3 linked regions of the Caenorhabditis elegans genome follow. The protein of the gene in region 3 purifies or fractionates together with the protein of the main gene of each other region. This does not show direct contact. Each region holds a gene or a part of one and is shown on either strand. Other genes may lie near its edges. The genes, in order: arp-6, arp-11 and dnc-3.

Region 1 (3,755 bases), 4.5 Mb from region 3:
ACAAATCCGAAACCTTGATGATTGGCAGTTACTCGATCTTTCGGCATATTGACACTGACAACAGGTCCTGCTTGTACCATAAGTTCCCATAGGATGGACTCTGACACCTTCTCGTCTAATCCACCAACGTAAATTGTTGCATCTTGGTTTCTTTCCACTATCGGCCCTGCTGACATCTGAAATATTGATTTTTAAAAAATGAACAGCACATGAAAAAAAATAAGTCCAACAAAGGAAAATAAACCTCTGATCTCAAAAAAAAATATTTTGGCATATATATATATAAAACATGTTTATTTTAAAGTGATAAGAGATCAGTTCAGAAATCTTCATCTTCCTTTGGGGATTTCTCCCTCTGATCATCGAAATTACGAGTTCCCTTCAGTTCATCGGATTGCACAAGAGTCTGGAAAAAGTTAGAGAACTCCAACGAGTCTCCTCGTTCGTCCCAATCTTTTCGGTTGATCCATGGAACTTTAGAAGCAGTGAGAAGCTCTTGACCACAATGCCAGGAATGAGTTTGTGGGTTTATTACGTCATTTGAAACATTCAATCCATATTCTGCTGGCAGCATTGATCGAACTTCTCGTTCCAGGCGTTCACGAAATCCTGGGAAGCACGACGATCCGCCAATCACGATGATATTTTCTGCCAGAGCAGGCCGTAATGCTTCTGGACATTGACAAATACTCTCGATAACAGCTTCTGCGACACCACATTGATCAATATCAATATCCGAGGGACTGCAACAGATAAAATAGTTTATACTTTTTGCCGAAATTACTAACTTGAATAAGATTTCCGGAATGGCGAATCTCTCAACTCCCAAATGAATTGAAGGAATTTGTGGATCGTGTGGCTCTTTAACGTCTTTCACTACACCTCGGAATGTCGAGTGGAAATCCGGCATAATATATCGTTTCATTGTTGTATTTTCTTGAAATCGATTCCTGAATAAAAACAATATAATTAGTATTCTTCATTTTTATACCTACCTAGCCTCTTTCATGCTCTCATCAAAATTTTGTGAGACGAAGCAAAGATCCTCTTTACATTCGTTGATAACGTATGTTTCTTCGCTAACATTCAATTGTCGGTAAGATACCCAGTCCTTCAATTTATTTGTTAACGCTTTTCCACCAACATCGATCCTTAAAAATAAAGCTAATTGTAGTTTGAAAACACTTTCCAACCTTATAACACTATCCTGAATAAGCATTCCATTCACAAATGAAGCTACCGTAGTCCATGAAAACCCGGAATCCACAACAACTGCACACTTTTCGTTGTTGATTTTATTTGAATGTTTTGCCACCAAAGTCGAAGCAGACGTTTTGTGTACCTCTGTGAAGCCGAAATAATCAAACAATATTTCACTAGAGACATCAGGAAGAGCTGGGATTAGATAGTTATTATCTGTGAGTGCAATTCGAGAAGTAGACGCCTCCACATCCATAGATCCGAACGTTTTCTCCCAGATTTGCTGTTGTGTATCCCAATTCACCACATATCCTCTTTCAATTGGTCGCACATAGAATAGCGAAAACTTGTCCGAACATTCTTCTTGCTCGTGTGCAACAAAAACCCGCTTCTTTTCATGTTTCGCTTTCACAATACTGTTTGGAACTAATCTGAAAATATTTAAATTATATTGATATTTTTCTTATTAGAAACAAACCTAGGGGACTCTGAGTCTATCGTACCTATCTTCATATTATGGCCACCATTGTCAAAAATAATTGTTGTTAAACTCATCTACAAAATTATTTCACAGAATGAGTAGTGTGATTTTTCCAGATAAAAAATTAAGAGTAGGGTGGTAACCTATAAGATAACAAATAATTTCGAATTATCACAATATTCATGAAAGTATCAGGCACACAAGAAACAACCCGGTTATTGGAATTGAATTGAAAATCTATGCGTTTTTACGAATGTTACATATGCTTCTTAAAAATTAGGATTCCCACGTAAGGCGACCGGTCCTTCCCGTTGAAGAAGTTGCTGAAGACGAGCGACTTCTTCGTCTTTACGATCCATTTCTCCTACAGGAGTCCAGCTTCTGTCATATTCCAACCGATATGATCCAAGATATTCTTCTTTCTTCTCTTGGTATCCCCACTCGTTAGGAGCCAACATAGAGAAATATTTGTTCATGCTTCCTTGCTTCTGGTACAAATGGTAAATTCGGCCAGGTTGCTTCTCCATGTTACAGGGAACGTTATGCAAATGCTCATCGCGTTGAGCATCTTCGAGAACTGCACGAGCTGCCATATGTAATTGTTCCATTTGATCGGCAATTTGCTTCAGACGATCGCAAGCTCTTCCTTTCACCAATTGGCGGGCACTGTTTAACTGATTTGCCAGCGCGACCAAATCATCGGCATCAATTTTGTCAGTTTGACGAGCACTGGTTACAAGGCGCTGATCTTCACTTCGGGACTGCACGAGAGGAACGTTTACTGAAAAATTTAATTACTATTGATATCAAAATTTGTTCGTACTTCTTTCTCCTCTTTGTGGAAGCTGGACAAGAGGCATATCACTCGCCATTTCTACTTCATTTATCTCCATCTGTAACTAATCTTGTATTAAGCTGTGACAGGCCTTTAAAAACACATGCAATCGAAAATAGGCTGGACGGATTGAGACCAGAAATGATGCAAATATAAAAACAAATTATTGAACTAATAAATTTAATGTCTGATATTAAAACAAAAACAATCAAGAACCCATTTAAATTATGAGAATACAAATAAATAATTCAAGTACGTTTAGAATGCAATATCTATTGTTTTCTCTTCAATTCAAGCTTGGTTATGTCTGTATTCAGCTTGGATTTTTCTTTAGCGGCTTGATAAGCGTTGTCGACAAGTCCAACCAATTTTCCTTCCTTTGCAAGAATCTTCATCAATTCAATTACGAACGGAGTATAATTGTGACGTCGGCGATTGTTTTCCTTGCGGTACCTGAATTTCACACATAAAATATTTAAATTAGAGCATTTCTTACATTTCCATTTTGTAATCCTCATCAGCAATGGCTTTATTGAGATCGGCTATCTGCTCTTCAAGCTCATTATTTTCATTTGCTTGAATCAAGTTCTCCATCATCTCCTGCAGTTTCTGTTTGCGGTTTGGAACAAGTGCCATCAAATTGAACGTGATCTCCCCTTCGCTGTATTTTTGCATTCTTTGTTGAATTACGGGCTTAATTGCCTCAATCCAGTCTTGTTCTTTTTGGAACTCAGCAACCTCAAGTGGGAGCTCACGAAGCCCATCCAGCTCGTAGACCTTATTACCGATTGGCACGTATGTCACAAAGTGATAGTTATCCTCCGATTCTCCGCCTTTGATATCAAGTTCGAAAAGAGTCTGACGAGAAAAACTATTGTGAACAGTGCGAATTTCCTCGCTGTTCGAAAGACAATGACCGCGAGTATTCGGATCCAAGTCAATCGCGAATTCTTTGTACTGATTCAGGATATTTCCAAGCTTCACATCGGTATCTTCCACGTTCATAAGCAAGTTGATGAGAGCTTGAGTAGCACAAGCGTTTTGAATTGTTTGATGAGCAAAAAAGATGTTTTGCTTGTCACTAGGAATCCCAGTTGTTTCATCTCCCTGGCGCCACTTGAACAAAAAAATGAGTCCGTAAGTTGGTCTAAAAAATTAATTGTTTTATTTTCAATTTCAGAAAAAAATACCGTGTCATCGCTTTATCATCATCGAGCGAATACAGCTCCTCGACTTGAA
Region 2 (3,755 bases), on a different chromosome or scaffold from region 3:
TTGCGTTCAATTGTCTCTCGAAGTGATCCCAATAGACTTGCACCGAGCCAGGAAACGAAAAGTGGCGTGTTTTTGATTTCCGAAAATTGATAGAATTTTACAATTACGGCAATTTTGGAATTGTTTTTCTCGTCGATAACTTGAATTTCTTGTTCCAAACGTTTCATGAGACCAGGAATTGTAGAGACTCCACCAGTTAAAAGTATATTTGGGAATAGCTTTTTCCGGAGATCAATCGGGCATTTTGATACCAGCTTGTGAAGAAGTTTCGGAAGGGAAAGATCGAATGATGTAGGATTGAGATTCTCATTGAAGAAGATTTCAGTACTTGTTTCGCTGAAATAATAAGTACTAAAGGTAATACGCGGCTTCTCTTACAATCGAAGTTCAGAATTTAATTTTTTCTGTTTTTTTTTTTGAATAATATAGGGAGCATAATAAAAATTGTTTGGATTACTGTAGGTGGCAGATTTCATGATATCATAGAAGGAGTTTTTAAAAAAATTTACTTTTTAACTACGAGAAATAAGTAATTTTAGAAACTTCTCTGTTGCTAATATGACGAAATATAATAGGAAAACTTTTCAAAAAATGTTGGATTTTGTTTATTCAGTCAAAAAGCGAAGCAACGCAAAAAGCGAAGCAAGCGAAGCGTAGCTTTTTTGGATGTCGTCGATCAAAAGTAATTTTTCCAATTTTTGTTCTAAAATATTTATATTAAAACAGTCAGGAGGGAGGCTCTAAATTGCGACATTGCTTTAGTTTTCACGAAAAAATGGTACGAACATAATTTATGTCGCTTTTTGTCTGTGAATAAACATTTTTTAAACAAAAAATTGCAGTTTTCCATGATATTTGATAACGTTTGCCAACACATTCAATTTTTAAACTTCTGGTAAGAAAAAACTTTTAAAACTTACAATACAACTGGAGGAACTACAAATATTTTTCCATTATTCGGAAATAGTCTTTCTTTGCAAAGTGTCTCAATATCCGGTTTTTCTCCTTCTTCTGACGCTTCCCATTTTGTCCAATTTTCGGCCCGTTCCTTATCCAGACAAATGAGTGATAAACTAAGCGTTTCGATAAGTTTACACGCCTAAAACATATCTTCAGTTATTGAGTTTTTTCAAGTTTTAGATATTTACATCAATATCTTGCCAATCGTTTTCTGTAATTGCTCGTCTCTCTCCATTTAATTCTGCAATTTGACCATATTTCTCCATTTGCTCCCGAACTCTTCGTTCAAGTTGTCGGCCACAAATCGAGCGAGCTGATTCGAACTCATTCAGCATTGTCACACCTTCGATAATCTGAAAAAAATACAATTTGCAATAAATCATAAATAGAAATTTGAATTTCTAAAAAAAATTTAACTGTTTAAAATTGTAGATGGTAAAAAATTACTCTTTTGTTGATTTTTTTCTAGAAATATTTTCTTATGCTCTTCAAAAATTAAAAATAAGAACTAACTGGAACTGCGATACATTCTGAATGTCCAATATCGACAACGAGAGCATTTTGAGTATTGAATGGAAATGTGGCACAAACATGAGATGGCATGAACATTAGAGATTTGCAACGAATCTTTTCGACAACAATTTTGGTGATGGTATTGCGGAGGGATTCTGACATGAAAATGCTTTCCACAAATATCACTGGACGGTCAGTGGGAGCCAAAACTCTAAAATCCAAGCTTTAAGTTAATCGAGGCCAGAGAGGCTCACTTTAAAAATACAATCCTCAAGAATTTATAGAGAATTTCTTCGTAGTACTCGGTGGACTTTGTAGCAGTCTTCCGATTGTTTAGAGCTAATAATTCATCAGAAGTTATCAATTTTCCTTCATCATCGACGTATTCTGTTCGGATAATATGTCGAGGTGTTATTTCTCCGGCACATCCAATTCTAAACATAGTAAAATTATGAAATTTAAGAACAGTGGAACTCAAACTTCGTTAACTTGCTTCCAATCTCAACCACAACTGCACTTTTTCCATTATCGATTGAACTGATAGCTTGAGATAAAGTTGTCGATGAAAGCGAGATTGATTGATTTGAAACTCCCGACGAACTCCGTCGAGCCGCCTTCAGCGACTCCAACGTTGATTGAGCAGTTGATGCCAGTTTGAACACTACAATATTGATTTTAAGATGATTTAATCTTAAAAAGAAAGGAGTAATTACGAATGTGGCACAATAAATAATGATTGATTCGTCTAATTAAAGTAAAATCTTGATAAAACATTAAAACAAAAAAGTCGTTCTCAATTGAGCGCTTACCGTATACGTGTGCAAACACCATGTATCTTCTATTGCGTACCGCGCGCAGTATATTACGCGCAAAGTTTTTGCGACTCTGAGTGACGTCACCAGACATTTTCTTATCGCTTTCTCGTTTACCGCCAGTTTAAATAATTATTTTATCACTTTTTATAAGTTTTTATCATTTCGCGTAATTACAGTAATCTTTTTATTAAAGGATTTGTTGCTTGATAGTGAACTAAAATAGGTTAACTTTGATTTTTAATGAGAGAGACATCATCGATTGCAGGTTTAGATTAGTTGTATCCATTTCTCTGACTCGAAATCTCTTTTTGCGTACTAATTTTTCAAAATAACCATCGATCTTCATCCAGATTTGAGGAAAATTCCTGTTTATTATTTTCAATATCTGGAAGGCTAAATAGAAAAAATGTTTGACTCGTTTAGGAATCCTAAATTTTGGAGATATAAAATTTGCGTCTTTCAATATTCAACTATTTGGGATATGATTTCCTTTTTTGCAATTATGGATTCTTACTAGAAAAACTACCAGACTCTGGCAAACATTCTCCTCCGCCTTGTTTGCTTTTTTCGTTGCTGGTCATCTTCAACAAACAGTGTACTTAAGCTCAGCATCACCACCGTGTTTTTTCATGGTGAAAACAACCCAGTTAAAATGGCTGAACAAGATGTTTAGATTTTTCTCGATAACATCTGATTGTGTAGGTCACCTTTACAAAGTTCATTTGAACTTTTTGCTATATCGTTATTCGAACGGATCTTCTCTCTTAACATAAAAGTTCCTTGCAATAGATATCGTTCAAAACGAACCAAGTGTCATCACTTGGAGCGGAGCCAGTAGAGCCCTGCTCTCGACATGTGAGAGCCCGGTCGCAAGGCATAGGGAATGACAACATTTCGTCTGCGTCTCCACCTCTTCAAGCAATCACTGTGAAATAGAAGCACACGAAGTTACACACTTGAATCCCTTTCTCTATATCCCTCGGTCTCTAGTTCTTCAGTTTATCCACGTTCAACGTCTGCTTTTTCTTCTTCTGCATCGACTTCGTGTTTTTTTCTCCAGAAATTTCGAAAACGTTTCAAAAATAATTTTTCCAGACTTCTGCTTCACGGCGTTTGCCGTGTTTCTTTCACGATGCCAAATTTACTCGATGACAGTTTTGATCCAACTTTTCAATCAACATCAAAAGTGAGTTTTAATTCCACAAGGAACATAAAATTGTAAGCAAAGTTTGTATACTCTAATTTTTAATATTCACAGTCTCAAATTATTCTAAGATTGCAAATTAACGCTCATTTTCCGAGTGATTGAGCCACACCCAAAGTTTTGAAAATATATAATTTATCAGTAATTAACCAAAAACTTCTACAATGTTCAGAAATTGGTACTTCCGTCTATTCGAAAGGTTCAGCCCGAATATGACAATCTTCCCGAAGAGCAGGGGGTTAACGATTTCTCAAGTGATGAAC
Region 3 (3,493 bases):
CCTTCGAACACTGGGAGGCTATTTCTCACTTCCTAGATGCTCTGAAGCGTAGCAAACAGATTGGTTATGTGGTGGACTGTAAAAAGTAAGCTTTCCTCTGGAAAATTTGCTGAAAAATCTGAAAATTCCAGTGAAAACTCTGGTTGTTGGGCTCACGGAGTCGATGAGAATCCGACGCTTTTTTCGTTCAAACTAGATAATTTTGACGATCATCTCGAGGCAAGATTCCGTGGAAAATTCCAGAAGGATCAGGTTTATGACTGGATTTTGACGTAAGATTTTGACGTGGCCGTGGGGGATAAAACTCGGCCACCAAATGAAATTTCTCTTCCAGAACCAAGCAACCCGAGGTAAAACTGCTCAACGAGGAGCTGGTGCCGAGCTACCGTAGTGGAATGGTCCCAGGATTTGATCGCGCGCGGGAAACCGTAACAATTCTGTTTATTGACACGAAAAAGTCGCAGATTTGGAGGAATTACGCGAAATTTGCGCGGGAAAATCACGGGCGGTTCCATTTGACAGCGCTGGTGTCCGAGGAGGTCAAGAAATGGTAAGAATTGGTGGAGAATGTTGTTCAAAATTTGATTTTCCGTAACTTTCCGGGTCCTACCGCGAACGAAAATTTCCAACTACAGTACCCCACATGGTAGCTCACGTGGTGCCAGGCTGTCTCATTGCGGTTTGATCTACAAAAATCCAGGAATTTTTCCCCTAGCAAAGAGTGACGTCAGCACGTTCTTAACCATGGGAAATCAATTGAGAACTCTGCGTCTCTTCTCCCGCATTTTTTGTAGATCTACGTAGATCAAAAAGGAGACACTCTGACACCACGTGGTAGCTGAGAAGTTTTGTTCGTGCCAAGACCCAAAGCATGGATTTGATCGAAAAAATATTATGCCAGTCCGAGTTTTTAGTCGTAATCGCAACTTTTTGGGTCCTGCCGCGAACGTAACTTTCCAACTACAGTACCCCCACACGATAGCCAAATTCGTTCGTGCCAAGACCCAAAACTGGGATTTTGGCTAAAAATGTATTTTTTTTCAGAAGAAATTGAATTTTAACGAGAAAAATTGGTTTTTTTTTCCTGGAAATTTTCGAATTTTCCAAATTTCAAATTTCCCGATCTTTCAGGTCCATCTACCCTGCCTTCATCACGATGAAGCCCTATGACCCCTTCGTAAAAGCCTTCACACTTCATAAGGATCTCAACTGGAATCGAATGGTCGACTACTTGGAGGACGGTGTACACCCGGGCTGTCATCAATTGTCAAGTCCCTCCGATTTCCTCTTCGCCACCGGAACCCAGAAGCCTCTGGTCGTATTTTTCGACCCACTGGACTCTAAAAATTCTGAAGGATTCAAAAAATCTGCTGCCGAGCAGCAAAGCGGCGATCGAATTGCTCATTTTTCGGCTGTAACCGGTTTCGACCTGTTTGGACTGTATGTGATGAGCGTTTTTAATGTGAATTCCCCGAGCTATATTGTCATTCGGCGACAGGTACTTTCACTTTTTAACTTCAAATTAAATTCATTTTTTCCAGGAAAAAGGATGGTGCATCCACACAAAACCCGCTGAAAACGACAATTTCACTGGAATTCTTTCATGGGTTCGGAATTTGGAGCCAGTTCACTGCCAGGAGCTCATTGAAAACTTCAAGTTCCCAATTGCTCGTTTGAATCTGTTGGAGCGGTATGATGACGTGGAAGAGCTAGAGAAAGGGTTCACGGCCGTGGAGTGGACTAGGGACGAGCTATAGGAATTTTAAAAAATTGCTCTGTTGTAATTTGGTAAAAATAAATAATTTAATTTGTTTTAATTTGATGTTTTACAGATTAAAATTGCATTAAAAATTTATATTTAAGAATTAATTAATTTTCCCTGCTCGTCATTTTAAATGCCAGTTCCGCAGGTACACCGCCACGGTAGATTGCGGACAAAAGAATCCTTTTTTTAGCTGTTTTAAGGAAATAACAAGAAATTTCGATGAAAATTTTCAGTTTTAAGCTTTCATACTAAGATTTAATAAAAAACAGACAATTTTAATGTAGAATTGCAGGCGATATCCTAGTTTCCACACTGAAAATCACTTGCGCGTCAAATAAAATGCAAAGTACGCATTGACACCGTCACGTCCCATTGCACACAATTTCTCAATTATTATTTTTCTTTTTCGATCTTTTGATTTTAAATCTGAAAATGGACATGATCGAGCTTGAAAAAAAGATTTCTGAAATTGAAGAAGTTCTAGGAATCGATGATCTCACCACGGTAAGCTTTTTTCGCGCAATTTCCAATAAAAATGCCAATTTTTTTTCCAGAAAACATCAATTCCCTCTCAAATCGAGGCTCTTCAATCCAAATTACGAGATGATTGTAAGGCGAATCTGCTAATGTCGATTCCCATTCAAAAGCTGGAGCATTTGAGCAAAATCGCCACGGAAGTACGTTGGAAAAACTGAATTTTCTGTGAAAAATCGATTTTTCAGACATCCGGCCCATATGGATCGCTGACTGACAAAATAGAGTCTGTAAAATACGCGGAAAAGCTGATCAATGAACGAGCGGAACGGATTAAACAATTTTCAGATGCTCTTGAGGTCTTTTTTTGCGATTTTTCAGAGAAAATTGAAGAAAAATAAAAAATTTCAGCCCTGCCTCGACCAGGAGCTCTTCTCAAAAGTGGCTGCACTTCAACCGGAGCTTGACGCTGAAATCGAAAAATACGAGAAGGCCCTGGAGGACTGGACCAAGTAATTGCAGTTTTTAAAGCCTAAAAATCTGAAATTTCCAAAATTTCAGAACCTACGGAGAATTCCAGACACTTGTCGCCGAGCGGTCAATGATCAACCAAAAAATCACCGAAAAAGTGCTGGATCTGCAGACGAAAATCAACGCAAAAGCTAAATAATTAAATATTTTTTCGCTGGATTGTAATTTATTTTTATTTTCTTTGTTTTCCTGTAAAAATTGAAATTCTACAAGTTTTTTGTTAGACAGAAAGACGAATTGGCAGCAATTATCGACTTTTCGAAGTGGGCAAGATGATGACGTTGTTTCGGGAAATTGGAAAATTTGTTTTTTTCCAATTTTTTTCCTCGCAAGAAAAATAGTTTTCTCTCCATTTGAATTACTAGATTTTTCAAAAAATTTGAACTTTTCTCCGTGGAGCGCGCTTGCATTATTAGATTTTACGAAAATTTGAATATTTCTCAGTGGAGCGCACTTACACCTCACTTTTTTCCAAAATTTTTAGTAATTCTCGATGGAGCGCGCTTGCAGCAAGGTAATTTTCAAAATTTTCCCAAAATCTCTATGTAGCGCAGTTGTAATCCAAAATTACAGCTAATTACCAGTAGAGCGCGCTTGCATCAGTATTTTTAAAATTTTTTTGAAATCAATTATCAGTGGAGCGTACTTGCATCCCAATAAATTTCATATAGTGCCAGGCTGTCCCATTACAGTTTGATCTACAAAAAATTCGGGAATCAGCAC

The links.
Region 1: the proteins of dnc-3 (region 3) and arp-6 purify together in Caenorhabditis elegans (affinity purification with mass spectrometry, with the first as the bait; one study listed by BioGRID). This does not show direct contact.
Region 2: the proteins of dnc-3 (region 3) and arp-11 purify together in Caenorhabditis elegans (affinity purification with mass spectrometry, with the first as the bait; one study listed by BioGRID). This does not show direct contact.

What each region holds. Positions count from the first base shown.
Region 1 is NC_003280.10:8,035,592-8,039,346, forward strand, and holds arp-6 (Actin-like protein C08B11.6), read right to left. Parts: upstream 1,756-3,755; coding exon 1,679-1,755; intron 1,632-1,678; coding exon 1,194-1,631; intron 1,152-1,193; coding exon 996-1,151; intron 951-995; coding exon 789-950; intron 744-788; coding exon 320-743; 3' UTR 286-319; downstream 1-285. Other genes in the region: sap-49 (Splicing factor 3B subunit 4), read right to left, coding at 1-176; C08B11.9 (uncharacterized protein), read right to left, coding at 1,951-2,462, 2,505-2,553; Ubiquitin carboxyl-terminal hydrolase ubh-4, read right to left, coding at 2,789-2,969, 3,013-3,663, 3,707-3,755.
Region 2 is NC_003282.8:7,900,357-7,904,111, forward strand, and holds the start of arp-11 (Actin-related protein 10), read right to left. Parts: upstream 1,916-3,755; coding exon 1,728-1,915; intron 1,685-1,727; coding exon 1,474-1,684; intron 1,314-1,473; coding exon 1,149-1,313; intron 1,100-1,148; coding exon 921-1,099; intron 337-920; coding exon 1-336. Other genes in the region: cbpl-1 (Cortactin-binding protein-2 N-terminal domain-containing protein), read left to right, coding at 3,421-3,474, 3,665-3,755.
Region 3 is NC_003280.10:3,551,639-3,555,131, forward strand, and holds dnc-3 (DyNactin Complex component), read left to right. Parts: upstream 1-2,141; 5' UTR 2,142-2,197; coding exon 2,198-2,269; intron 2,270-2,319; coding exon 2,320-2,442; intron 2,443-2,487; coding exon 2,488-2,598; intron 2,599-2,650; coding exon 2,651-2,751; intron 2,752-2,800; coding exon 2,801-2,909; 3' UTR 2,910-2,979; downstream 2,980-3,493. Other genes in the region: W10G11.19 (DUF4105 domain-containing protein), read left to right, coding at 1-85, 132-272, 335-550, 1,132-1,498, 1,542-1,757.